Linked DNA regions of Oryzias latipes. The protein of the gene in region 1 interacts with the protein of each later gene in a biochemical or structural test. Links are inferred from orthologs where the notes say so. Each region holds a gene or a part of one and is shown in the gene's direction. Other genes may lie near its edges. The genes, in order: esr1, nuclear receptor coactivator 7, CCAAT/enhancer-binding protein beta, ncoa6, flii, mta1 and phb2.

Evidence for each region.
Region 2: the proteins of esr1 (region 1) and nuclear receptor coactivator 7 form a complex in vitro, tested with the Homo sapiens proteins (2 studies listed by BioGRID). The link is inferred for Oryzias latipes from reciprocal best matches to the Homo sapiens genes ESR1 and NCOA7.
Region 3: the proteins of esr1 (region 1) and CCAAT/enhancer-binding protein beta form a complex in vitro, tested with the Homo sapiens proteins (2 studies listed by BioGRID and IntAct). The link is inferred for Oryzias latipes from reciprocal best matches to the Homo sapiens genes ESR1 and CEBPB.
Region 4: the proteins of esr1 (region 1) and ncoa6 form a complex in vitro, tested with the Homo sapiens proteins (4 studies listed by BioGRID). The link is inferred for Oryzias latipes from reciprocal best matches to the Homo sapiens genes ESR1 and NCOA6.
Region 5: the proteins of esr1 (region 1) and flii form a complex in vitro, tested with the Homo sapiens proteins (2 studies listed by BioGRID). The link is inferred for Oryzias latipes from reciprocal best matches to the Homo sapiens genes ESR1 and FLII.
Region 6: the proteins of esr1 (region 1) and mta1 form a complex in vitro, tested with the Homo sapiens proteins (4 studies listed by BioGRID). The link is inferred for Oryzias latipes from reciprocal best matches to the Homo sapiens genes ESR1 and MTA1.
Region 7: the proteins of esr1 (region 1) and phb2 form a complex in vitro, tested with the Homo sapiens proteins (3 studies listed by BioGRID). The link is inferred for Oryzias latipes from reciprocal best matches to the Homo sapiens genes ESR1 and PHB2.

Annotation. Positions count from the first base shown.
Region 1 is NC_019882.2:8,948,422-8,951,387, forward strand, and holds the end of esr1 (estrogen receptor), read left to right. Parts: intron 1-248; coding exon 249-382; intron 383-988; coding exon 989-1,172; intron 1,173-1,340; coding exon 1,341-1,638; 3' UTR 1,639-2,466; downstream 2,467-2,966.
Region 2 is NC_019882.2:16,951,100-16,954,599, forward strand, and holds part of nuclear receptor coactivator 7, read left to right. Parts: intron 1-1,675; coding exon 1,676-1,788; intron 1,789-3,500. UniProt on the Homo sapiens protein: Enhances the transcriptional activities of several nuclear receptors. Involved in the coactivation of different nuclear receptors, such as ESR1, THRB, PPARG and RARA.
Region 3 is NC_019865.2:21,871,284-21,874,653, reverse strand, and holds CCAAT/enhancer-binding protein beta, read left to right. Parts: upstream 1-1,341; 5' UTR 1,342-1,537; coding exon 1,538-2,398; 3' UTR 2,399-2,870; downstream 2,871-3,370. UniProt on the Homo sapiens protein: Important transcription factor regulating the expression of genes involved in immune and inflammatory responses. Also plays a significant role in adipogenesis, as well as in the gluconeogenic pathway, liver regeneration, and hematopoiesis.
Region 4 is NC_019865.2:14,778,078-14,781,577, forward strand, and holds part of ncoa6 (nuclear receptor coactivator 6), read left to right. Parts: coding exon 1-451; intron 452-569; coding exon 570-701; intron 702-2,243; coding exon 2,244-3,500. UniProt on the Homo sapiens protein: Nuclear receptor coactivator that directly binds nuclear receptors and stimulates the transcriptional activities in a hormone-dependent fashion. Coactivates expression in an agonist- and AF2-dependent manner.
Region 5 is NC_019866.2:18,081,530-18,085,544, reverse strand, and holds the start of flii (protein flightless-1 homolog), read left to right. Parts: upstream 1-1,215; 5' UTR 1,216-1,260; coding exon 1,261-1,323; intron 1,324-2,739; coding exon 2,740-2,850; intron 2,851-4,015. UniProt on the Homo sapiens protein: Is a regulator of actin polymerization, required for proper myofibril organization and regulation of the length of sarcomeric thin filaments. It also plays a role in the assembly of cardiomyocyte cell adhesion complexes.
Region 6 is NC_019880.2:4,694,886-4,698,924, reverse strand, and holds the start of mta1 (metastasis-associated protein MTA1), read left to right. Parts: upstream 1-1,239; 5' UTR 1,240-1,258; intron 1,259-1,373; exon of another isoform or gene 1,374-1,402; 5' UTR 1,403-1,475; coding exon 1,476-1,503; intron 1,504-4,039. UniProt on the Homo sapiens protein: Transcriptional coregulator which can act as both a transcriptional corepressor and coactivator. Acts as a component of the histone deacetylase NuRD complex which participates in the remodeling of chromatin.
Region 7 is NC_019862.2:5,437,998-5,441,997, forward strand, and holds the end of phb2 (prohibitin-2), read left to right. Parts: coding exon 1-29; intron 30-234; coding exon 235-419; intron 420-503; coding exon 504-633; intron 634-797; coding exon 798-901; intron 902-1,031; coding exon 1,032-1,109; intron 1,110-1,198; coding exon 1,199-1,278; intron 1,279-3,231; coding exon 3,232-3,256; 3' UTR 3,257-3,500; downstream 3,501-4,000.

The DNA of each region.
Region 1 (2,966 bases):
TTCGCTAGATATTATCCATCTTACCCTCACTTTTCCGCTGAGCTGACAAATGGAGAGTGACAGTGATTTCGTCCATTACTTGTGTATCTGGCCGGGGTTTAGACACTTTCACAGCTGCAGATGAGGTCAGATTCTTCGTTCTGAGAGGATTCTCTGCAAGGATGCTCTGCAGACCACAGCTCATCTTTCTGCCTCTAGAGACTGTTTCTCAACTTTCAGCCTTGACTTTTTTTGTTTTTGGCTTTTAGGAATGAGGGAGACTGCGTGGAAGGCATGACGGAGATCTTCGACATGCTGCTGGCCACTGCTTCCCGCTTCCGTGTGCTCAAACTCAAACCTGAGGAATTCGTCTGCCTCAAAGCTATTATTTTACTCAACTCCGGTAGGCCATTGTATTGTGACGGGAATGATGTTTACTTTTTTTACTTTTTTTTGTTATTCTCTTTTGACGCAAGCTTCTTGTGAAACGACTTCACAGAAACTGTGGGCAAACAGCAGAATGTCTGCCTCCATTTCAGCTCCAAAGTTTGACAGTTGTGTTTGTGTGGGCACATCGTCACATGTCTTCTTCTTTGCTCGCAAGAGTAAATATTGAACAGTGTCATCATACACCCACAGGCGGGCACCTCTGAGTGCTGCTCAGACACATTAGGTGAACAGAGTGTTCTGGAGGAGGGCTGCACCGTCAATACGCTTGATACCCGTCGTCATGACAACATGAGACAGCATAGGGGGCCGTGTTTATCCCGGTGATTGAGATATTTTATATGGGAAACGGGGGGGGGGGGGGGGGGGGGGGGGGCAAATATCATCGAGATGACACACGAGCATCAGCTGCTGGAGCAGGACGAACTTTCATTGTGCATCTGAAAAAAAAAATATTTTAGATTTCAGGCTCATCGCTGAGGCTAATTAATCGAGATGAGGATGCTGCTTTTTTTTTTATTTTATTTTTTGCAGTGTACTGATGAGCTCATGTATTTGTTAGGTGCTTTTTCTTTCTGCACCGGCACCATGGAGCCACTTCACAACAGCGCGGCGGTTCAGAGCATGCTGGACACCATCACAGACGCACTCATTCATTACATCAGTCAGTCGGGTTACTTGGCCCAGGAGCAGGCGAGACGGCAGGCCCAGCTGCTCCTGCTGCTCTCCCACATCAGGCACATGAGGTAAAACCAAACCACCAGTTACCAGACCAACCCATATGAGACTCTTGTAGTTTCAATCAAATTTCAACTCCAAAGTGGTGATGAGCTAAAAAGAAAAAAAATATGAAAGGAAAAGTTTTTAAAGTTTCAATAAACTTTAATTGCATCTTTACCTCTTCCTGTTTGTAGCAACAAAGGCATGGAGCACCTCTACAGCATGAAGTGCAAGAACAAAGTCCCTCTTTATGACCTCCTACTGGAGATGCTCGATGCCCACCGCCTGCACCACCCCGTCAGAGCACCCCAGTCCTTGTCCCAAGTCGACAGAGACCCTCCCTCCACCAGCAGCGGCGGGGGTGGAATCGCTCCCGGTTCTATATCAGCATCTCGAGGCAGAATCGAGAGTCCGAGCAGAGGCCCCTTTGCTCCCAGTGTCCTTCAGTATGGAGGGTCGCGTCCTGACTGCACCCCGGCCCTTCAAGACTGAGCACACAGTCCAAGGCCCTTTTTTTGTGGCTCAAGGGTTCAGGTTGGGACAAGGTGATGCTTGATTTAATTTTAAGAATTATTTATAAATAAGAGTGGCGCTGAGAGGAGAAGCTCCCACAATGAACTGCCTCTGCTTGGTCCAGCTTTTGTGCAGTCACTTTAATCTGCTTATATTCATCTCCTTTGTAAACCTGAGCGTCTCTTTAGCAGCTTTTTTTTGCTCTCCAAACAGCATGTGGTAGATTGTAAGGTTGCGTCCCATGAGTTCTGGTGATTTCAAGAAAATGAGCAGCTAATGTTTTCTGTAACCGTCTTGACCCAAGTGCACTTCCTCTTGGATTAAAGGGGCTAATGGGCATTATTTTGTCTCTTGTACATATGGGATGGCTAAGAATAATGAGAGTAATTGTCAGATTTTGTGTAGAACTTACCCACAAATGCAATTTTAAAATAAGATTTAAAAACAAAAGAGGCAAGATCAAACCTGAGAGCACTGAAGACACGCTGTAGAAAGCTGGGTAAATTTGTTATCCACGTCTATCTCTGGAAAGGACTTTGTTCTCTGTGCCTGCAGCTCATTTACTCTGAACTTGCTACTTGTTGAACATTTGTGCACTTGTCCGTGTTTTTCTAGCACTGTAGCTTATGAACGCTGAGAAAGAATCTAATGCTTTGATGCACAGATTTGCCTTGTATTGTACATCTCAGCCACAAACGTACTTTTCGTCCACAAGTTGACTGACTGCACCTTGATTAAATTGTCTAAAAGTTCATTTAAATGTTGAATTCTGTGAAAATTAAAAAGGCAATTCCTGTTTCTATTTCACATGAGTGATAATGAACGTCTTCAAGAATCAACTTGTACTTCAACTGTTTCAGCTCTAAATCAAAGGCATGAGTGAAAATCTGCTACTTGTAACTCGTTTCTACAGATTTAGCAAAAAATAATTGGAAAAATCAGGGTTTTCTGGCTACATTTAATTGGAAAGTCTCAAACAAATGAAGTCACACTTTCATTTATTACTTGGAATGCTCCGTTTTATCAGAATGACTCATTTTATGCCCTCTAAGAGGAGTGAGGCTAAAACTCATTTTAGTTTTGAGCTATTTAGGACATTTTTGCTGTGCAATCATGAATGTTAGATTTCAACTTTATCAGCTCGTTGCTGTATCTTGTAAGTTTTGTTAGCCCAGGGCTAAAAGACACAAAGTGTGAAAAATATATGCAAAGAAGGGACAGTAATCACTTAAGTAATTGGCATCCTGTGACTGTTGCATGGACTGATTCATCATAAACCCGCTTTTTTTAATAGAATGTCAAATTTG
Region 2 (3,500 bases), about 8.0 Mb from region 1:
TCTTTTTAAGGGTATTTTTTAAATTAGTATTTTACTGTTTTATCTGTGTTTAGCATAAATCACAAATTATACAAAAGGAATTGTTCTTTGTGAGAGATTGGAGGAAAGTAACATTTAATCAAATCAAATAGGGAATTCTGTATATTCAGATTGTTTTCAGAAATAAAACTCAAATCTACTAAGTATAGGATTGCAGCTGACTATTAATTCTGCAATGAAATCTAAATTAACTTTAATTTTTAACTTGCCTTTTTGGTGTTCAGTCAGCCATAAAATATTCTTGTTTTTAATACCCATGTTATCTGTCTATCATGTTATACAGTTGTTTGCCCTATTTTTTTTCCTTTAGGTTAAGTGTTTTATTAAAAAGAAAAACTTTTATTCCTTTTGCATCTCTGACAAACAGCTGTGAAGTTTGGCTGCTTTTGCTTATTTTTTGGCCTCAGAATGAACTTGTGTGAGTGGAGGAGAAGTCTTATCAGTCGATGCAGCTGCTGCTGTCTCCTCCTCCTTCTGCTTCACTTCCTGACAAACAGAGCAAAGGTCACAATGAAGCGCAGGCCTTCGGTCACCGTAAAACTTTAATAAGGCGTTATTGTTTTTGCAGTGTTGAGATTGTAGTTTAATAAAAAAACGAAAACTTGTACAACTACTCAGGCACAATGAAACGCAGAAACTATAAACATTTTGGATTTTTAAAAGCAATATTTTATTAAATGAAGGGGGGAAAAAAGTTTTTCGTTTTGTTCTAGTTTAAAATGAAAATGAAAAACAAAACAAATTTTTATTTTATTAGTACCCATACTTTGAGCAGCTGTCTTAAAGTTATTTTGTTTTATATTGCCTTTGTGATCTTTAAAAAGTCAAATCATGTTGCTTCTCTGCCTGTATTCAGCTCTGAATTGACAAAACCTGTTTTAGTTTTTCCAAACATTTGCTCTGGGTGGACGTGAACCCGATAGAAATGGTTCCACAATTAAAGAAGCTCAATAAAGGAGGAATTTTGAGAATCTACTGACAAATATGTGAGTGTTTGCTGGGATACAAGCTGCTTCAGTTTAAATGAGATGTGTGGGAGGGGAATCCTGTCTGCAGGATTATCGATCCAGTCTCTACTTTCCATTAAAGCACATCAACAGTCGTGAAGCTGCTTCTGCTCATTTCAGAGCTTTGCAGAGCAGCATTCTCCACTTTTTCTAAAAGTTGGTTGCATTAATCATATGGGCCTTTCAGCTCCATTGCATCAAAATGCAGCATCTTCTAATTTTTTCAACAAACCCGTCAATACTGAACTTTAATGATAATAATGAGGGAGACGACAACTTTGATTAGTCCTTCAAAGTTTCATGCATAACTGTAAAGTATGAGATGTGTTATTTACTGCACAATGGTTTGATGTACATTTATAGAAACACAAAAAATAGGGTGGAATTAAATGGAACATCTTCAAGTTGAAACATTTTGTGATGACATGGAGATTCTTTAACACTAATATGTTTTTTTTTCTTCAAAACTTTATTGAAGATGTATAAGATACAAAATCAAGTCAGTTTTAAGTACACAGATAAACAAAAGTAAGCACCAAGATGTACTGAGTATCCAAGTAACTGGTAACAAAATTTTCCCTTTTCTCCTTTAATGAGTCAGAATTAACCATTTTTCTGGTGTTCGTCAGGCGGAAACGGCAGAGCCAATTGGAGAAGAGTCCAAATGAGCGAACCCCAGCACTCTTCAGTGATCCCAACAAGAAGAAGGACCCACAGACAGTAACAGCAAAGCTGCCAGCAGGTTTGGCTTAATTCTGCATGAAAAAAATCATATAAATGTTGGCTTTAGCTGTTCGCAGTTATGAAACTCCTAATAATTGGATGCACAGAAGACTGCAGCAAAGTCTGCACAGACTTCTTTGTTTAACAGACTTCTGCAAGTGCTTTTAGATTAATGTATGGGGGTATGCATTATTAAAAGGCCACTTTGATTAGATAGTCTAATGAATTAAAACTGATGCAAACACTGCAAACACTAGAACTTGACTTAATTCTGTGAAAATGGTGTTAATTTGTTGAATTAAACATTTAATTAAGTCAAAGAAGCTTTGATATAAGCGCCGTTATGATGTTCCGTGTTGTGTTTTTGCTGCAGGTTTACAAAATTCATGATTTGTGGTCAGTGGCAATTATTATTTTGCGGTTGAGAGACACTATTGACATGATCCAGGAATCATTTGTAATGAAGCAACATCAGCAGTTTCAAGCAGGAAGTTACACAACCTGTCCCTGAACGAAATAAGTCTGTCTGTTGATGACAGTAAAAACGTGCATTTCAGCATATTATGAACATCTTTATCCTGCCATCAACTAACTGTTCACAATTTGAAGTCTCAGTCTGATCAACTTTAATCTGTTTTAAAAGTGTTCCCAGTGTTTTATCATTAGTATTACTATTATTATCATTATTATTACTATGGGGTCTTTAGCCCAAAACAAAAAAAACTGTGTGGTTTTCTAGGACATATTTTCTGCAGAGCAGCAGGAGTTCATTAGAAAGTTGCACCTGAGTTGTGGGTGGGACTGTGGCAAGAAGCAACCTTGCCCCCCCCCCCCCCCCCCCATTTGTTCTTTCATTCTTTTCTTTCCCCAGACGGCATTTTTTTTTTAGAAATGAAATAAAAATCTTAATCCTCTTTTTATTTGACCTCCACCTGAAAGATGCCACAACAACATTTTAAAAACACAATTTTCTTCGGAGTGGGTCTTTAATATTTCGGATGTGTGACTTGTGCATGAAATTAAATTAGAGTGCAGATTGAAATAAACACTCTTAAGGACTAAAAGCCACAACAAATTATTTGAATTTATTGCTCACTTTTGAAGGTTTTCAGCTACAAAAATGATCTAGATAATAAAATAAGACCTGAAGTCAGCTGTAAATATTCAGGTTGATGCAGAACTTCTTTTCTTTGACGCACCGTTTGCATAAACCTTTAAATTTGCAGCTGACTCTCTGCTGCTAGCATGCATGCTCACCAAACTGATGATAGACCTCCTTCAGCCAGCAGTGTAAATGGAAGAGCTGCAGCCTGTATTTATGAAACGCTGCTGTCACTAATGGAGTCTAAGGTTGTGGGCAAAGTGCAGAGGATGAACTGAGCATGCTCGGAGCAGACGCACCTGCAGTAAACAGGTTCTACGCCTCGTCATGGCGGCATGACGAGGCAGTCCGAGCTGCACTAATGTCCTCAGAAAATGCTGACCCTGGAGTTTCCTCTACAAGCGTCAGTGTTGCAGCGTGTTTATAGTAAATCAAGCCACAGTTTACATGAAAAGGTTGGTTGTAGGTGAAGTGATAAAGGGACAAGTTCTATTTCTTTAACAAGTATAATAACTGAAATAATAATATAAGTATAAAGCATAATGACAAAGTATTTATTTAAAATGAAAAGGTCAGAAATATACAAAATTACTTTCCACCTAATAAGCTGTGTAGAGGTTAGATGGAAA
Region 3 (3,370 bases), on another chromosome or scaffold:
TCAAATCGCCGTTAAAATGCATCATTGCACCCCTACTCAGAAATGTGCAGCATCAAAGTCACGTGTTTTTGTGTAACATGTCACAGGAAAAATTTGAATGCTGATCCAGAATGACATCTCAGATGAAAACGTTGTCTGTATGTGACGCTATAGGAAGAGAAGGGAGCACTCCCATGGAGGCACTACAGATGTCATCTGTCATTCTGTTTGATGGAGCTGCCTGACAGGGAGCTGAAAGTAAAATGCAAACATCGAAGAAAAGTTGGAAGCAAAGGGAAAACTTCAAACTGTTTCAAAGCAGTTTTAATGGAGCAAGAATTAAACTTAAGCCAAAAAAAAAGGTTTTTCACTCAAACAACAAAAAAATGTATACATTATCAATTTAATCCCTTTGATTTATGTGCGATTATATTCAAACATCAGCCAGGCCTGATGTTAAAAGCCTTTAGATACCATTTGGAGTTTTTTTTTCTCTCCAGTACAGTCTTGTCATGATATTCTGCACCGACCGCTTCCTAACATGCAAGTCATGGTGACTTCAAATGGAAAGTGACTACCTCTGTTTTCTTCAGCAAATCACACAAGAAATGTCACACACGTGTCTTAAAATATGCAAAAGATGCTCGAAGCACCAAATTGACAAGTGCTTGACAAGTAATTTTCTAAATACTCTTAGCCACACGGTGGCAGTAAATCCCAATTTGCAAACCAGTTTCTCACCAATAAATAAATTGTAGGTATTTCTTCTCAATCTACGTGCACGTTTAAAGCAAACGTGTAATTCTTATCTGATCTTATTCAGAGTCAGTTTATTTTTGGGGCCTCATGATTGTCCAGGAGAGGCTTCTATTTTGTTCTTGCTGTGAGTCATTGGGTCATGCTTGAAGTCATGTTGTGGGATAACACTGATCCCACGAGACAGTCACATCTGTCTTTGACGACAGTGAAATGTTTCTGACACAAACCAGCACAGTGATGGATGGGGATGTGTGCATCACTTCCACAACTGTTCATTTTTGTTTTGGAAATAATGTGTTCAGAGATGTTTTGATTACAACTGAATGTGATTTTCTGCTGCAGGAGTTAAGGAAATGTGTCCAGAAAGGAGCAAAGTAATTATTTATAATAACTTGTATTGATGCTTACTGACAAACAATGAAAGACTTCACTTTAAATAGACAACAAGTCAAGTTCAGGTTTTCGTTTGTCCCGACATAAACAGATGAATGCGGGAAACGTTCTCCAAAGTGGAACAGGTTGTTCGCTGACAGGCTCCGCTCGTCACACCTGCCCTGTTAGGCCCCGCCCCCCGCGCTGTGGAATAAAACCCTCTCGAGACAGGAAGGTCTGTCAATTCCTCCCAATCCGCCACAGAAAAAAAAAGTTGCTTCTTGTTGTTGCCACATGAAGTGACGCGGGTGCTTTCAGCTCGCTGCATTCCGACACGTTTTCTCCAGTTACTCAGCTGAACTTGAAGAACTCGGGGCGCCTCACCTCAGCCCTGCCCGCTCCTGCAGTCCGGCGGGAGTGCAGATCCATGGAAGTGGCCGGCTTGTACGAGGAGGGAAGCTTTGCTATCCACGGCAGAGACGGTATCATCAGTCCCATCGTCGGCGGCTCGTACTGGCGGCTCGGTGACTCGATGACGGAGCTGGGCATTGAGGAGCGGGAGAGAGCGATAGACCTGAGCGTTTACCTGGACCCAGCCTTCCACTGCGCGCAGCTGGCGGCGCAGACGCAGCCGCAGGGGGACGCGTACTCTGACTTTCTGGCGGAGAGCAAGATCAAGAGAGTCTCAGCTCTCCAGAGCTACAGGAACTACTCTTTGCTGGGCGAGCTGGAGTCGAGCCAGTGCGACCCCCGGCAGCCCTACTCGCTGGGCTACTCGGAGCTGCAGGAGACGCGCGCGGACAGCGTCCTGAGCCCCGAACTGAGCCGCTACAGAACCGCCGCCGCAGCCGCCGACAGAGACGACAACCTGGAAGACGCCAAGATGGAGAACGGCTCGTCCGGGTTCGACATGAGGTCCTATCTTCATTACCAGTCCACCAGCAGCAGTCTGGGGAACATCTCCACTGCGTCCTCCACCTGCTCCAGCCCGCCCGGCACACCTGCGCCCTCAGGTAAAGGCAGGTCACCGTCTCACGGCGGCAAGGGGAGCAGCGGGAAGTCTAAAAAACGATTGGACAAGGACAGTGAAGAGTACAAGCTGAGGAGGGAGAGGAACAACCTCGCCGTGAGGAAGAGCAGGGACAAAGCCAAAATGCGCAACTTGGAGACTCAACACAAAGTGCTGGAACTGGCCGCGGAGAACGACCGTTTACAAAAGCGCGTGGAGCAGCTGTCTAGGGAGCTGGCCACGCTGCGCAACCTGCTCTCAGCAACTGGACAATGTTAGGTACCCCCCTCCCACGAGAGAACCCCCCTGTGCCGCTCCCTCAAGTGGACTGGAGAGTGCACGGTGATCCAAACGGTACACAGGTGAAGGCGGCCATCCCCAGTTTACAATGGACACTGAATAAGACTGAACAAGTGGGTGCATGGATTGCGCAACCGTTCACCACTCTTTACATGTCACTGTGGCTTTTTCCTCACATGTAATGTTTGTGTATGCAGTATTTCTGTGCAGGTTTTACATACATACATTCATACCCTTGAATTTCTAGATTTTTGTGTGTGTGTGTGTGTGTGTGTGTGTCTGCAGCAATGGCTGTCAACGGGGAGAGTTGTGCTGCAGTGAAATGATGCAACTCTTTGTAATAGTATTGGCAATGAATGAAATAAGTCTAATTATTTAAGATTTAAAAAGGTGAAATGCTTTAATTGTACTTGACATTGGATTAAATAGATTTATACTTTGTTTAAAGGAATTTGCACGCTCTTTTCTGTCCTTTCCTCCGCAGGTTTAGGGTGCAGACAGGCACACAGACATGGGCGTTCACACTCAGACTCACACTTAATCCGTTACAGCATATTGCGTTGAGGAAAACGGCTGTTTTTATAATCCAGGTTTGCGTAAAATAAACTACAAATCACGAAAAGAATCCTACAGGCCTTTAAATATTTGAACCTTTGTTGCACAAAACGTTATTAATTAATCATACGTATTTCATTATAAAGTAGAAAATATAGTTCTCTGTAGTTAAAAAGCTTTAAAAAATATAGTTTGGAATCTTTTTAGTCATTGGTTTTTGTCAAATTGCACTTAAAACAAACATCTCTTGCAGATAACCTTTTACACAAAACACAACCTAACTCCTCACACTCTTTTTTTTCCTCTTTTTAAACAGGTTCATTTTCGTTTCTGTTTATTTTAAATAATTGACGCATTCTCCCAAGGGTCCTAAAATAAATCAAACCCATTTATGCT
Region 4 (3,500 bases), on another chromosome or scaffold:
TCCCTAGCTACTGTACAGACCCCCAGTCATCCTCCACCCCCTTATCCGTTTGGCAGCCAGCAGGCTGGGCAGGTGTTCAATGCCATGGGACAGGGACAGTTACAGCAACAACATCAACCGGGAATGGGCCAGTTTGCTGCCCCTCAGCCTAAAGGCCAACAGGCTGGACCTGGTGGTGTCACAGGACTAACTCGCCCCCCTCCACCCCTTCCACAAACTTCTGGACCACAGGGCAACCTCGCAGCTAAGTCGCCTGGATCGTCTTCATCTCCTTTTCAGCAGGGCTCTCCAGGTACTCCTCCTATGATGGCTCAGAGACCCACAACTCCACAGGGTTTTCCTCAGGGTGTTGGTTCACCAGGAAGAGCAGCCCTCAGCCAACAGGGCAACATGCAGCAAGGATTCATTGGAATGCCCCAGCATGGACAACCGGGGGGCCAAATTCACCCAGGTTAGTAACTCTGGTTAGTATTTTGTTGTTCCAATGGAAAAAAAAACAACCTGTCAAAGAAGTTCACTTTTTCTTGATCATCTTTATCCAAAATGACCATTGTAATCATCAATTCTAGGCATGGCAAAGCGTCCCATGGGTTTTCCAACATCTAACTTTGTTCAAGGTCAGGTGAGTGTTAGCACTCCAGGAGCTCCTGGTGGAGGAGCAACTCAGCAACTGCAGACCAACCAAGCAATGTCTCAAGCAGGTAAAACTTCTACAGATCTCTAAACAAAAAGAAAAATGCTTGTTTTATGATGTAGAAAGTATCTGACTTTACTTGCTGCAGGTAGTGGCTTAAATGCTGTCTGCTCAGAAACTGAGGGTGGAATTCTCATAGGGAAGTTTCGATCAACCCAGAATGGGAATTACTATCAGAATAGCTCAGACTGGTTAGAGAATTTGACATGGCATCACATTTGTATCACATTTTCACTTACTTCACTTCGTTTTCTGTGCTGTAGCACATCAAATGGTACAACACACTTCATGCAACAATTCCCATTTTGCAACATCATGTTGCACAATTGAGCATGTTGTCTACCATGTTTGATGCCTTAAATAATTACCTAGTTTGAAGCGATGCGGCAGTTGCAGCTCATTCCAATTCATTCTTAATTATGCTTTGTCAACACTTAATTTGCTATTAATAGCTTTAGCCTTCACACTGAAAGGCTCGTTCTTGTTTTTTCTTTAACTTCACTCATTTTAAAATGTTTATCTGGTATGTCAGTGTCACATTAAGTTTATTTAAGATTACAGGTTTTCTATTTAACAAAAGACACGTTAATGTTAAGCTAAACACTTGGTTCATCTAATGAGTTGGAGCAAAGTAAGAGTTCTCAACAGAAAATAGAAGAAAAAGGGGAAAACAAGGATTTTAAATCAATCGAAGAAGTCTACATTCAAAAGCTGGAATCCTAAAGCCCCACTCATATTTAGAGCCATTGTAAAAGTGTTCCCAGTGATATTTTAATTACGATTTTCAAAAAACCTGTGTTGTTTTCTTGAACATAGTGTCTGCAGAGCAGCACTAGTTAATTAGAAGTTTGCCTCAGAGTTGTGGGTGGGACTGTTGGTGCAGAGCAAACGCCCTCCCACTTCCCGTCACCCATCTGTTTACCACGCTCTCCCACTACCTTACAGCCCCTTACATCCCTAACCTGACAGTACTTGTGCAACAAAAATGACGAGCAATATTGGAGCCATCCAGCCGTACAGTTTAGAGCCAGATGCCAGTTCAGACAAGGAAAATGAAGACGTACATGGATCTGTGGTTTATAAGTAGATGCATCAGAATGGAGAGGAGCAGGGAACTTGTGACCTGCCAATAGGAGCTTCTATGTCACAATAAGCTCGTAATCAAACAGCAGTTTTTTGGTCTGCTCCTCATTTACAACAGTTTGAAAAAAGATACCCAGAAATGCATTTTTGAGATTAATTTTCTTTTTTATATATGGCCTCCATCATGAGAAAAAGGTCAAAAGCAAATGCATTAAACACCAAAAACACAATATTTTATTTGAGTAAGTCTTTAACAAATGAATTGAAGCTTGTCTCTGTGTGTCACTTGGGATCCATTTTTCTTAAATACACCAGTCTTCAATAATTATAGTAGTCTATTTTTTTCTTTTATTAGCAAACCCCTTTTTATTAGCTTTATATGTTTTTGTTGAGAACTATTTATAATTTCAGAATTAACACCATGATATATGCAACCATTTATGCTATCCTTTGTATTTTACATCAGGGCCTCAACCATCACCTTCCACTCCCAGCTCAATGCAGGGACCACCTCATGTTCAACCCAATGCCATGGGTGTGCAAAGCAGCATGGCAGGTCCAACCCCATGCACAACTGCTGGACCTAGTATGGGTCAGCAGCAACCTGGCCTCCAGACCCAGATGATGGGCCTCCAGCATCAGGCCCAGCCTGTGTCCTCCTCCCCCAGCCAGATGGTACAAGGTCAAGGTGGAGGTCAGACTGTCCTTTCAAGGCCTATCAATCAAGGCCCGAGAGGTGGAATGACCCCACCTAAGCAAATGATGCCACAGCAAGGCCAGGGGGTGATGCATGGGCAGGGTCAGATGGTTGGAGGCCAGGGGCACCAGGCCATGCTCCTGCAACAGCAGCAGCAAAACTTGATGATGGAACAAATGGTTGCCAACCAGATGCAAGGAAACAAGCAGGCATTCGGAGGCAAGATTCCAGCTGGGGTTATGCCGGGCCAGATGATGCGAGGCCCATCCGCAAATATTCCTGGTAACATGGGGCAGTTCCAGGGACAGGTGCCCCCACAGCAGATGACTCCACAGCAACAACAACAGATGGCTCAACTACAACAGCAACAGTTACAGCAACAACAGCACCAGTTGCAACAACATCAGCTACAACAACAGCAACACCATCAGCAGATCAGTCAACAACAACAGCCACAGCAGGCTCCCATCCCTAATAATCCTAATCAAACTATGGGTCTGCATGGGCAGCAGATGAGACTACCTGCTGGCCATCATCTCATCCAACAGCAGCTACAACAGCAGCAGCAGCTGCAGCAGCAACAACAGCAGAAACAGCAACAGGCAATGTTGCAACAACAGCAACAAGCAGCTCAGCAACACCAACATACCATTGGGGACCCAAATAGTGGCACAGGTGACTTGGGAGTCCAGCAAATGGTCCCAGACATGCAGGCGCAGCAGCAGCAAGGCATGATGGGTGGCCCTCAGCATATGCAGATGGGAAATGGCCACTTTGCTGGTCATGGCATGAATTTCAACTCTCAGTTCTCAGGTCAGATGCCAATTGGAGGGGCATGTGGACAGCAAGGTAGTTTTCCCGTCAATAAAGATGTTACACTGACTAGCCCACTGCTGGTCAACCTGCTGCAAAGTGACATATCTGCCAGCCAGTTTGGACCAGGAGGAAAGCAAGGTGCTGGTGGAGGAAATCCAGCTAAACCTAAAAAGAAGAAACCACCACGCAAGAAAAAACCCAAAGAGGGGG
Region 5 (4,015 bases), on another chromosome or scaffold:
GAGAACAAAGGTAACCACAGAGGACAAAACATGGCACTGTATTAATATTTCTCAGACTAAAAAACGAGAATTTTATAATATTACAATATTTAACTCATACTTAGTTTTACTGTGGGAATAATCATGTACTTATTTTTCATTTATCTGCTTTACTTTGCTAGTTTAGTAGCTTCAGTATATATATGTAGCCATTTATGACTTTGGTGGCTACCTGCAACACTGGATAAAACCAAAAATTCTGTTCCTGGATTCTATTTCCAGAGATTATGTGACATTTGGAATCCTTCTGCCAAATACATAAGATCTCTGTTGTGATTTAGTCCTCTGCTTAACAATTTTTTACTATGGAAAAGAAGAGTGCTGAAAAGAAACTTCATTTTCAAATGTTTTTTTTGTTAAACTGGAAATGTGTATAAAATCATTAAAATATATCAAAATACAAATGTGTGAAAACGTATGGGAAATGTCAACAGAATTTCCAAATTCTGTGAATTTAGATATGTGGGGAATGTATACGTGTAGTGATATTTTCTTGTTAGTATGACACTAATGATTACCATAACAATATGTTCTTTAGCTTTTCTCGACTATTTGCTTGATTTAATTTTATTTTCCTTTTAAATTGGAACAGTTTTTAAAATGTTATTAAAGATTAAATTTTACAAGATGTAACCTTAAAAAAGCTCTGCAGTACTAAATTTGGGTTTACTTTGTGTTACCACTATTTGTTGCATTTGTTCTTTCTAGCTGCATTCACTTTATTTATTTGTTTGTTTGTTTTACCATATGTTAAGCTATTATTGTCATGTTTAAGGAAGATGATTTGGAGAATCAGGAATAAAGGGCCGAAACAAATCGGACTTTAATCTTAGAATTTTGAATTTAATCACAGAATTCTGATGGTCTGGTGGTCAGAATTCTGACTTTGATCTAGGAATTCTGAGAAAAAAGTCAGAATTCTAAAAGATTTAAGTCAGATTTATGCTCCTTGGCCCTTTATTTTATTATTATTATTATGACCCGCGGCAGCAGTAATTATTATTTATTTATGACTTATTTTCTATGGCTGTGATCTTTCTGCGTACAACTTTGTGGCTGCAATCAAGTGTGACCTTATAACGACAACGGGGAAAGGGGAGCTCTCCAAATAAACAAAATGCATTTCCTCTCGAGCCAGAAGGGGGCGGTAACAAATCTACAGTCTCTCCCTCCCGACCCAAAATAGTAGAGGTTTGAGCAGTTGACATCAGCGAGTCAGAAATGGCTGCCACCGGAGTTCTTCCCTTCATAAGGGGAGTAGACCTCAGTGGAAATGACTTCAAAGTAAGATTCTTTAAAACTACACTCGCATTATTTATAACTCTAATTTTAGTCATATTAAATGAATCCTAGGCTAAGCTAGTTCCTGTATGAGAATTGTTCACCTATACTATAGCAGGGAAAGTAGCTAAGACACTAGCATAGCTTAACATGATTGCGAACATTGGTTGGGCGTTAGCCTCTTGTTAGAAAAAACACTCCCGTGTGTGTCAGACACCACCCTTTGAGCAGTATGCGGAATTGTATTTAAGGCAGGTATGTTTGTTTAAACAATAAAATAAGAGCCGTAACTCTACAGGAAAACAGTTTTGAGTTGCTAGGGTAGGGCTACAGCACTTGCCACTCATCATCATACATATCACTACTACTCTGCTTGTTTAGTTAGCGTACTTTTGGCTAAGTGTATTATTGCTTAAGACATTCACTTTTGATCTAAATTGTTCAAATGTTTGGGATTAATTTAGAATCTTTTGTTAAAGGTGAATGTTGGCGCTTGTTGGGTTGTTTTGTTAACCCGGTGTTGACATGGCTTTAGTTAGTAAGTTCTGGTTTTCATCGAGTTAGTTTAAGTTAATTTAAACACAGGGGAATTGATCACCTCACCGAACTTTAGACCCGTCACACTCACAGCAGGTTAAGTTTGTATCCAAGCCCCGTTTAGGTTGATTATTATGGGATTGCAACACTGTTGTCAACAGTGTAAACTCAAGTTGTTGCTGTCAATCAGTGATCCTGGACTTAAAAAGAAATACTGAAATGGCAGGCGTTTACTGTTGTCACAAGGAAGACTTAATATTTCCATTTTTATTTAACTCAGTTGGATAATAATAAAAGTTTGACATCATGCTAACTTTTTTTTGAGCCTGACTCACCAGATTCTAAAGGAGTATTGGAACACGTCCGAATTTGCTGGCGAATAATCTTTTTGATGTGTTGTTTTTATTTACCTTTCGGCATATCCCTGCAGGACTCGCCAAAGAAATTCCGCTTTCATTTATTCCCTTCCTGACAGAACCCTCTATTTTAACCGGGCTATGGACTGGCACAGGGAGACCCAGACTTGGGCCCCTTTGTGGCTGCATAGTTAAGGAGCCGCGTTAAGGGTCTTGTCCAAGGACCCACACTGGATGAAACTCATCGCGATCCCTGGTTTCCCATGCGCCAGTCCTACGCGCAGCCAACCGAACCATCCAACCGCTAACTTTTTATTGTGTTAATTTGTTAAATTCAAGGCATTTGTCTGTCTGTAATGTTAGGAAATCCAGATGTCAGCATGTGTCATGCAGCTTCTGTGAAAACACTGCCAATTTTTATCTATCCATCTGTCCGTCCGTCCGTCTCAATGGAGTTATCAGATGTGTGTAAATCTGGAATGATTTTGTTGTGTTGGCAAACAAGTTTCTTTGCCTATCTCCACAGGGGGGTTATTTTCCTGAGCATGTAAAGTGTATGAGCAGCTTACGATGGCTGAAACTGAACCGGACAGGACTTTGTTATCTTCCAGAGGAGCTGGCTTCTCTCCAAAAGTTGGTAAGAAGATTCAAAAGGCTTTTGATGCTCCTCTGAAGTTTTTTTTCTGACCTGTTCAAGCCTCTCACATGTGTGCAGCTGGCAGTGGACTTTCTGTCAATATAAAAAAAGTGTTTTCTTTACACGGTTCGCTGCATATAGCTGATGATCATAGAAATGAAATTTACATTGTGTGAAATCTGAGCTTTAATTTGTCATCTAATGACTCTAATCTGCATTTTAAGAGTAAATTTACACCATATATTTATTAATTTACTTCTGAGGGATTCACATTTCGATAAAGTGCTTTTATTGAGAATGTTTAGAACTATATGTTGTTGATGTAAATTCACTGGATGCTTCATCCACATAGCAGTGAGTCTGGACACGGTGGGACAGTTGTCACACCCCAACAACACCCCAGCGTACAATCTTAAAGACTTAAAGACTGACTCCAATGAAAATTGTGTTTTTAACATGTTCCTGTGGCCATTTTTCATAAAGGATGAGGACATATTAAGAAAATTAGTATCAAAACTGCATTTCTGAGTATTTCTTTATTCACATCGTCATGAATTAGGAGCAGACGAAAAAATGGCATTTGAAGATTGTATTTGTGACGTACAAAAAATATGCAGGGTGGGCCACAAGCTCCCTGCTCTGCTCCATTCTGTTGTATCCACTTGTAGACAAAGAGATCCATCTTTTCCTTGTCCGTGATTATCATAATTGTAAGACGACTGGGAAAAATAGATCACAAGAAGATTGGAGTGGGACTTGAGGCAACTGACTGCAACTAAATGCCGTAATTATTAAGAAATGGCCCGCAACTAGCTCCCTAGCAGAGCGTCAAAGCCCACAGACACAGACGATCTCTGTTGTAATAAATAAGCAACTGTTGTGTTGAAGGGCTTCAAGGCTTTAAAATACATAAACATGACAAAGAAGCCCTTCTAGCTGCCCCAACAGGTACTTAATGTCAACCCATATTAGAAGTTCCCATTAGAATTGCTACTGATAACAACTTCTTTCTAAAATCATTGTAGTTTAGTGTATGACAGCTGTATAACCGGCACATTATATATTTGTCTCAAAGTGGTTTTAAATTGTAATTTGTGATTTTACTCTTAGTGATTACGTTTTGTTGTTGTTTTAATTTGTATTTTTCAGTAAAGATATTTGAATT
Region 6 (4,039 bases), on another chromosome or scaffold:
CGGAGACTGCACACATAAGTAGGAGTGCATGAGGCACGCACAGCTGATTGGCCTGATCCACTCATGTGATCACAAGCAGAGTCCCCCGTGTTAGGCCATGGTAATTGAAGCTTCCATATGGTATAGATCAGATGTTGCCTTCACCACAGCATTCCTGCAGCACAGTGACTTCCTTTTTGCATCCACACTGAAAACTGGGCTAATTTGGACAACTGTTTGGCATAACACCCACTCATGTAACGTCAAATAAATGAAATTCAATTTGCTAAATGACAAAACAAATTACATGTTTATGGTTTATACATTGGAGGATTTATTGATGATCTATTGTCTAATTTTTTCTTGCGTGGCAGGTGTGACGCTCTTTGCCAAAGTATACAAGAAAACGAACTTTAGCAGGAAACAGAAAAATTATGAAAAGCGTTCACTATTTTCTTACAGTTCTTTATATTACAAAGATATGAGCCATTATATAATGAATATATTACTATATTAAATTAGGGTGAAATATTTCATATTTTAAAGTAAAAATTGGATTAAAATTAAACATTTTAGCATAATATTAATCATGTTTATCCAATCACCAATTGGCTACTATTTAAATCTAAAGTCTGTAAAGTTATGCCATATTTAAACAACAATTTCTCCAATTTATCATTTTCTGTTGCTTCTGAAAATGTTACTTCTATGGAACTTATTTTTGTTTATAAAAATAATCCCTGAGTTAATTTTAAAAAGTGTGAAAAATTACTAGTTTTACTCTATTTTGGTTGCACGTGCAGTTAGTTAAACACTACGGCAACTCTTTAGGGATACTTTTAAAACAAATAAAAAAGATGATTGAGAAGGAGATTCTTAATTTGACAATTATTTCAGAGTTATTATTTATAATCAAAACTCCTATAACTACATAATATATAGGGAAACAGCAAATAAGTACATTTATTTACATAAGCACAGGTGATGTTCGCATTTCTATATCCAAGAACTTTTGTTTTTTATTTTAAAGTATCGCGATAGTTTAAGTTCTATGCCGCAAATAACTGAGGCAATGTTGGGATTTTCAAATAATAGTCGAATTATCTTTCTTGACAAGCAAAATTGTGATTTTAAACAAAAGTGTACATTCAATTGTCAAATTTGAAGTTGACATTTTCATAAAAACGACTTACATAGACGCGTTTAAGGAAGATTACGTCACTTTCTCGTTGTATAAATTACACGTTTTGGGAAATATGTCATGTGTCGCTACTTAAAGGTAATATTTGTTGAAATTGTGAGTTCACTTATCCACGTCCGGGTGCCCAAATTTTGAGGTTTCGAAAAAGAGGTGTACTGTCTCTTTAAGACGTCTCTGGCAGTCTGTTTCGTATTGATCAATCCACCATTTTCCAACACACAGCAGCTCCGGCAGCGCCACAGAGAAGAGAGCCACCCCTCTACCTGGAGAGGAAGCCAGGGACCGGGGCGCAGTCATGGCAGCGAACATGTACCGGGTTGGAGGTAAGCGCACACGGGTTCGGCTCTTTGGAACACCCCCGTCTTCGTTATTTTATGGCGGGCTCGCCATTATTCACAGAGCGAGATCTTTTATTTCCCAAAAAGCTAAAGAGCTTTGTGCCTCCACAGATGAGGATGGTGTGAAGAGGAGGATGGTGATGAAGAGTAGTAGATCTTTTTTTTTTTCTAATCACGAAATGTTGGTAGCTTCTTTTGTGCCTGTGTTTTGTTGCTCAGCGTGGAGCCAAACAACTCCTTCAGTGTGGGGATGCGCACTTTAGTGAAATGCTTTAGGTTCTCTCCTGTTTGAAGGTATCATGGCGAACATTTTCCCCAAAGTTTTGCGTGCGTTTAAACTGCTTTCTGCTCGGAGTAGCAGCCAGGAGGACTTCACTGACTGACCAACGGAGACAGGTAAAGCATCCATGAGCTGAAGGAGAAGGAGGCTGCTGGGACAAAAAGTTCAATTCTACCAAAAACATTTGGGGAACACCAAACTGGCAACTTTAGTGATGGTTTTCATGCCCATCCATCGCTAAGCTATTTTATTTCCATAATAATTTAAAAATATTTTTAAACAGGCAATTGATTAAAGTACCTAATTAAGATTCCCCACCCACTCGTTCTCTGCCTGTGTTCAGATTCAAATCCTACAGGGGAAAAAAACACGTGAAAGTTCACATAACAAAGTCTAATAATGTCATTATAAATTATTGTAAATATATTAGCCCTCTTGTTGTGGTTTAAATGTTTAAAAATACCCTTTAAAATGTTACAAATGTCTTGTTTTGTGTGTTAAAGGTTTAAACAAGCAAAAAACAACAACAGGTTTTTGGTTTAATTTTAGAAATTAGGAAGTGTTTTTTGGGATTTAAATAAATTTTTTTTTCTATTATTGTAACATAAGCTATCTTGACAACAGTGGTCATTATAGAATAATCCACACAAAGATGCTTTTCTAGTTATTAATTTAATAATGTGTGTTTATGTTTTTAAAATGTATCAAAAACTTGTAGACTGGTGTAAAAATGATATGTGAACTAACTGAAAAAACCATTAATTTGAAACATTTTGATACCATAATATTTATCTCGATGGTACACATTTCTCTGTGTTAGGACTTCATAAAAAAGTTTTGTAAAGATACATATAATGATGCTCAAAATTAATTTAAATCTTATTTTTAATGTTTTTCTTTCACCCCTAAATCCAGTTTGAATTAGATCTTCTTCTTTAAATGTATTGGCATTGAAATAACACCTGAATTTGTCGGATTTTTGCATTACTTACCCTCCTAAACGTTCATCAAAACAAACACTGACTGAATTAGTTCACAACTAGAACGTAAATATAGTGTTGAGTGGGCGATTTTTCTGCGAGTAATTTAGATGGGGTGCTGTGTGGGTTTTTGAACAATTGACGTTCTTTGGCTTGGATGAAGTTGTCATTTGTCTCGAGATGTGTCATCGTATCCCCGAAGAGCTGGCAGCAGGTGCAGCAATTTACAGCTGAGTTTATTTATCTAATCTATGTATTGATATTCTTTGGTCATAACCGCTTGTACAGGCTGAGTAACCACATTTTGTAGTACATCTAACCAGTGTGTGCACGTCTGGGAAAGAGGAACGATGATGAAGAAGAATTACCTTCACTTTATGGATCTATTTGCTTGTTCTGACCAAAAAATCGTCCCATCAAATGTAGGAGTTAGATGGACTTCTATGGATCAGCTATAGTCAAATTAAACCAGATCTACCTGACTGGCAACAGGATTATGCCCAGATCAGGGTAGAAGGTTAACCCTCCCTCTGCCAAAGTGTTGCCTAATTTGGTCCAAACCTTCATCGTCATTCTCTAGAGGAGAATCCATCAGCAGGGCTTAAATTCCTCATCTGAGCAAATTGTAATTAACTGTGCAGATGTATTATTTATTTATTGCCTTAATGCACTGAGCTTGTATTGGGTTGCCTCTGTTTTGTTGCACCGCAGCTCAGGAAATGTAATTAAATTTATCAATCAGGGTCTAAGCTGTTTACACAAACTCCCTAATTTGTCATTTTGGAAAAAGAAAAATCCATTTAGCTTCTTATAAAATACTTGAAAACATCTTAGGATTATGAAACTTACCCAATTTAATCAAAAATCATTAAACATAAGTCATAAAAATAGGACGTCTTAATTAATAACTGATAGGAGTAATCTAGACTTAGCCAATAATAAACCCTGCCTCTCCTGAAACCGGTTCCAGGTCATCATCAGAAGAAAGCAGAGCCTTAAAGAGTTGCCTTCAACTTTGCAAGACAATGCTGCTGAACCATCTTAGGAAGGACTTCCTTTGAAAAAGACTTGGACAAAAGCAGGCTCCTCTGGCCTTCATGTCTTTGTTTTGCACAGCGCAGGCCACAAGCCACTCATCCGGTGCACACAGCGGTTTTTCCTCAATGCTTCGCACCAGAGAAAGTGTTAATTACCAAAGATGGGCTGTGTGTAAAGCATAGAAGCAAACACAGCTTCTGCTTATTGAACTAGAGTTCAGGAG
Region 7 (4,000 bases), on another chromosome or scaffold:
AAAGATCTCCTCTTTGACAGGCAGCAAAGGTAAAACTCTCACTGTCTTTGCTTGGGGGTTGGATGTAGAGCTGGCCATGGTTTCTTTTAACTACCTGGGCCAGGTGTGTATAATCCATGACTGGTGATACCGGACTTCCTGTTATTCGGGGCACCTGTGTAAGGTTCTTGTGTCATTGTGGTCCCTCTACATTTGGGTGAAATAAAATTGAACCTTCTTGTGTTGTGTGTGTAGACCTGCAGATGGTGAACATCGCCGTACGCGTCCTGTCCAGACCTCTAGCCTCCAATCTGCCCATCATGTACCAGCAGCTGGGTAAGGACTACGATGAGAGGGTTCTGCCGTCCATTGTAAACGAGGTTCTGAAGTCTGTGGTGGCCAAATTTAACGCATCGCAGCTGATCACACAGAGAGCTCAGGTGAGTTGGAGCTCTCCTCTGTAACAGGCGACATCCCATAGTGAGGTCTTGAGCTCTGCTAACGCTGTGCTCTGATTGGAGCAGGTGTCCTTGCTGGTACGCAGGGAGCTGTATGACAGGGCCAAAGACTTTAACATCATCCTGGATGACGTGTCCATCACCGAGTTGAGTTTCAGCAGCCAGTATACTGCTGCTGTGGAGGCCAAGCAAGTTGGTAAGTGGGCACACACCTGCGCCAGGTAGAACCAAGCCTGCAGTCACGTGATGGCAAATAACAAGCCGGAGTGAGAAAATAAGCCGTTGAGACACAGTGAATGGGACTTAAGCCCTCATTAAGAGCCAACCTTTGTGTCTGTGTGTGTTTGTGCGTGCCTATAGCTCAGCAAGAGGCCCAGAGAGCCCAGTTCTACGTAGAGAAAGCCAAACAGGACCAAAGACAGAAGATCATTCAGGCAGAAGGAGAAGCTGAAGCTGCCAAGATGGTAAGCGACAGGGTGACCCGTCAAGGTCTACGTGTTTCTTCCAGTCAGGCTCAGACAAAACCAGGTTCTGACTGAAAGAAAAGTTGTTGAGTTGGTTTCAGCCACACTGATCGATCTGTCTGCATCTCAGCTTGGCCAAGCAGTGACAAAGAACCCAGGTTACCTGAAGCTGAGGAGAATTAGAGCGGCGCAGAACATTGCCAAGACGGTCAGAGACGTTTTTTCCTCTGCAGCACAAGAGTTGTTTCTGTCTGTGAGGATGATGATGATGATGACGGAAGATGTTGTTTCCTCCAGGTGGCGGCGTCCCAAAACAGAATTTACTTGAATGCGGACGGTTTGGTCCTGAACCTGCAGGATCAGTCGTTCTTCAACACGTAGGTTCACACACAAAGGTCGCACTGACCTCCCAACATCTTAGGCTTAACAAGCCTAAAACCTGCTTGTACTAATGCTAACAGTGATCTTCCAACATGCTAACCCTGACCTGTAAAGCCATTGTGGTCTATGCCGATCTAGTGAGCACTGATGGATACTTGTTTTTGCAGTGACATCTTGAAAATGGCGATCATCCTCTGAAGTGCACTAAGTAGTGAGGGAATTTGGACACAACCAATGTGTTAATGCTAACAAGCTAGCTCTGACCTACTCACATGGTAATGCTAGCAAGCAGTGTTGCCAGATAGTCATGGTTTTCCAGCCCAAAAGTCATCTAAAAAGCGCCGGGTTTCACAAGAAAACGATTATTTAGCAGTAATTACTCATCCTTTAATTAATACTTCTCATTTTGATTGAAAGACCAACTTTGAGACATTTTTAATGATATTACATCCACAATTCAATATCTGTAGAATTAAGAAAAGTGCCATCACTGTCCATTAGGTGGACAATGTCCATCTAACTTTTGTAAAACATGAATTTTTGTTTGTATAGAACAGATCGATTATTCCAAATCAAATCAAACTGTGTTTGTATAGCACTTTTTCAACTTGTGCTACTCAAAGTGCTTTACATAAAAACACAATTAAATCCTAAAAACAAAAGACAAGACATTACACAAATATTTTGTCTAAAACCCCTCAAATAGTTGGTGTTTGGACCGAAGTTGTGGATGTAGATTACCGTATTTTCCGGACTATAAGTCGCCCTTTTTTTCATAGTTTGGCAAGGGGTGCGACTTATACACCGCAGCGACTTATATTAGAAATAAATTCAAATAAATACATTGTTAACCCTCCTGTTATGTTCATTTGTGAGGAACAGAGATGATGTTCCTGGGTCAATTTGATGTTTGAGGGATGTTAAGTGTTAAGAGTATGTTAAGTGACTCAGAGAATCAGCAAACTTTTTTTTACAGTAAGATCTTGAAGGCTAACAACATAATATTCTATTTTCCAATGATTTCATAGATTCAGAAATGCAATAAAAATGAAAACTGTTTCTACAAATACAGGCTGAAAACAGATTATTAGTTGGCCAATTATGCTTCATGAAAGGAATAAATAAATAAGTTTGAGAAAGAATTACTGTGAAATTATGAGATAAACAGTCTGATATGATTGTGTCATATAAGGTTGTGCAAATTATTAGTTCTTGGTCTCAGATTTTGTCAAATAAATTTCCCGTCAAAATGCGACTTATAGTCCAGTGCGACTTATCTGTGTTTTTTCTACTTTATAATGCATTTTTGGTCTGGTGCATGCGACTTATAGTCCGGAGCGACTTACAGTCCGGAAAATACGGTAATTTCCAATAGACCAAGACTTGTTTGTGGTATTTAGAAAAATTTGATTGGTAATTTAAAAGGATCAGAATCACATTTAAAACAAATCCGTCCCACCCACCATCTAAAGCAGATGTGAAGGAATGGTAAACCAGATTGAATGTTTTAGCTCCTGTATTTTCAAAGTCAGTGGCCTTCATCTCGCCTTCCTCCCCTTTTATTGGTCAATTCCATTCCGACAGGACAAATCAATCTGGTTTCATCCCAGGAATAGAAATTGATTTATCAACTAATCGATTAATTGCTACGCCCCTACAAGAAAGGGTCTTGAAAACCCTAAGCGGGAAACTCTTCGATACATAAGATCGCAAAAATGGAGTCAAGTGACCTCTAACTTTAGCCTAAACAATAAATGAATGTTTTTCTCTTAATCGCCAAGATGATGAACTGCTGTTGTGCGTGTGGACTGTCGTTTGTCCACATGCACAGTCTAATAGCTTCATCTTAATCCACAATGTTTTGGTGATTGTCCATCTGGATGGAGCCACACAGCGACCTTAACGTTGGCTGACCTTCATGCTGCTGAACCAGGTTCTTGTGTTTTCAGTCTGTCCTTGATGCAGAAGAAGTGATGGAGAGAAAGAGGATGGCGGCTCAGCTGGGACCTCCCCCTGACTGATAGACAGCTGCTTTGGTGGGGGGGTAGAAAGGGAGTAGAGATACCAGTACCACATTTACCCCCCGTCTACCTGACTGGATGAGAAGATCGTCATCCTTTGTTGAGGATTGGTTGTTGCCGTGTCCCAGTTGGAGCAAAAGATCCCGGTGACATTTGTTGTTTTTGTGAATTTATGAAATAAACTTAAATCCAACTGAGTTAAAGGGTCTGGTTTCTTTTTGCATCACCTGGGGAGGGGGGGTTGAGCCAGAGCTGATGAGATGACCTTCAGTTCTGCAGTGTCCAGGTGTTAGACACAAACTGACATCAGAGAAGAAACATGAGTCTGAGAAGAGTATAAAACGATAGAAGACAACAAATCCATTATTCCACAAAGGAGAATCATTGTTTCATCTAATTTCTGACCTTCAGAAGATCATTCAGGCAGATCATCTGGTAGTTGGAACCTCCATATATCTGCAGACCTTTGTCTAGGATTGCTCAGATCCTTTCAGCAAAAACATCCTCACACTCACCAGCTGTGAGGTTCTTAACCATTTTGCTGTAATAGAACTCAGACATGTAATCCAAAACAATGATGGAGAGGAGAACCAACATCCTGGATCGAATAACTCAAAAGTTAAATCCTCAAAATTTCTCTCCATAATCCTCAGACTCATGTTGAGGTCGACTTTTTGGGGATCTACAGGTTTGTGGG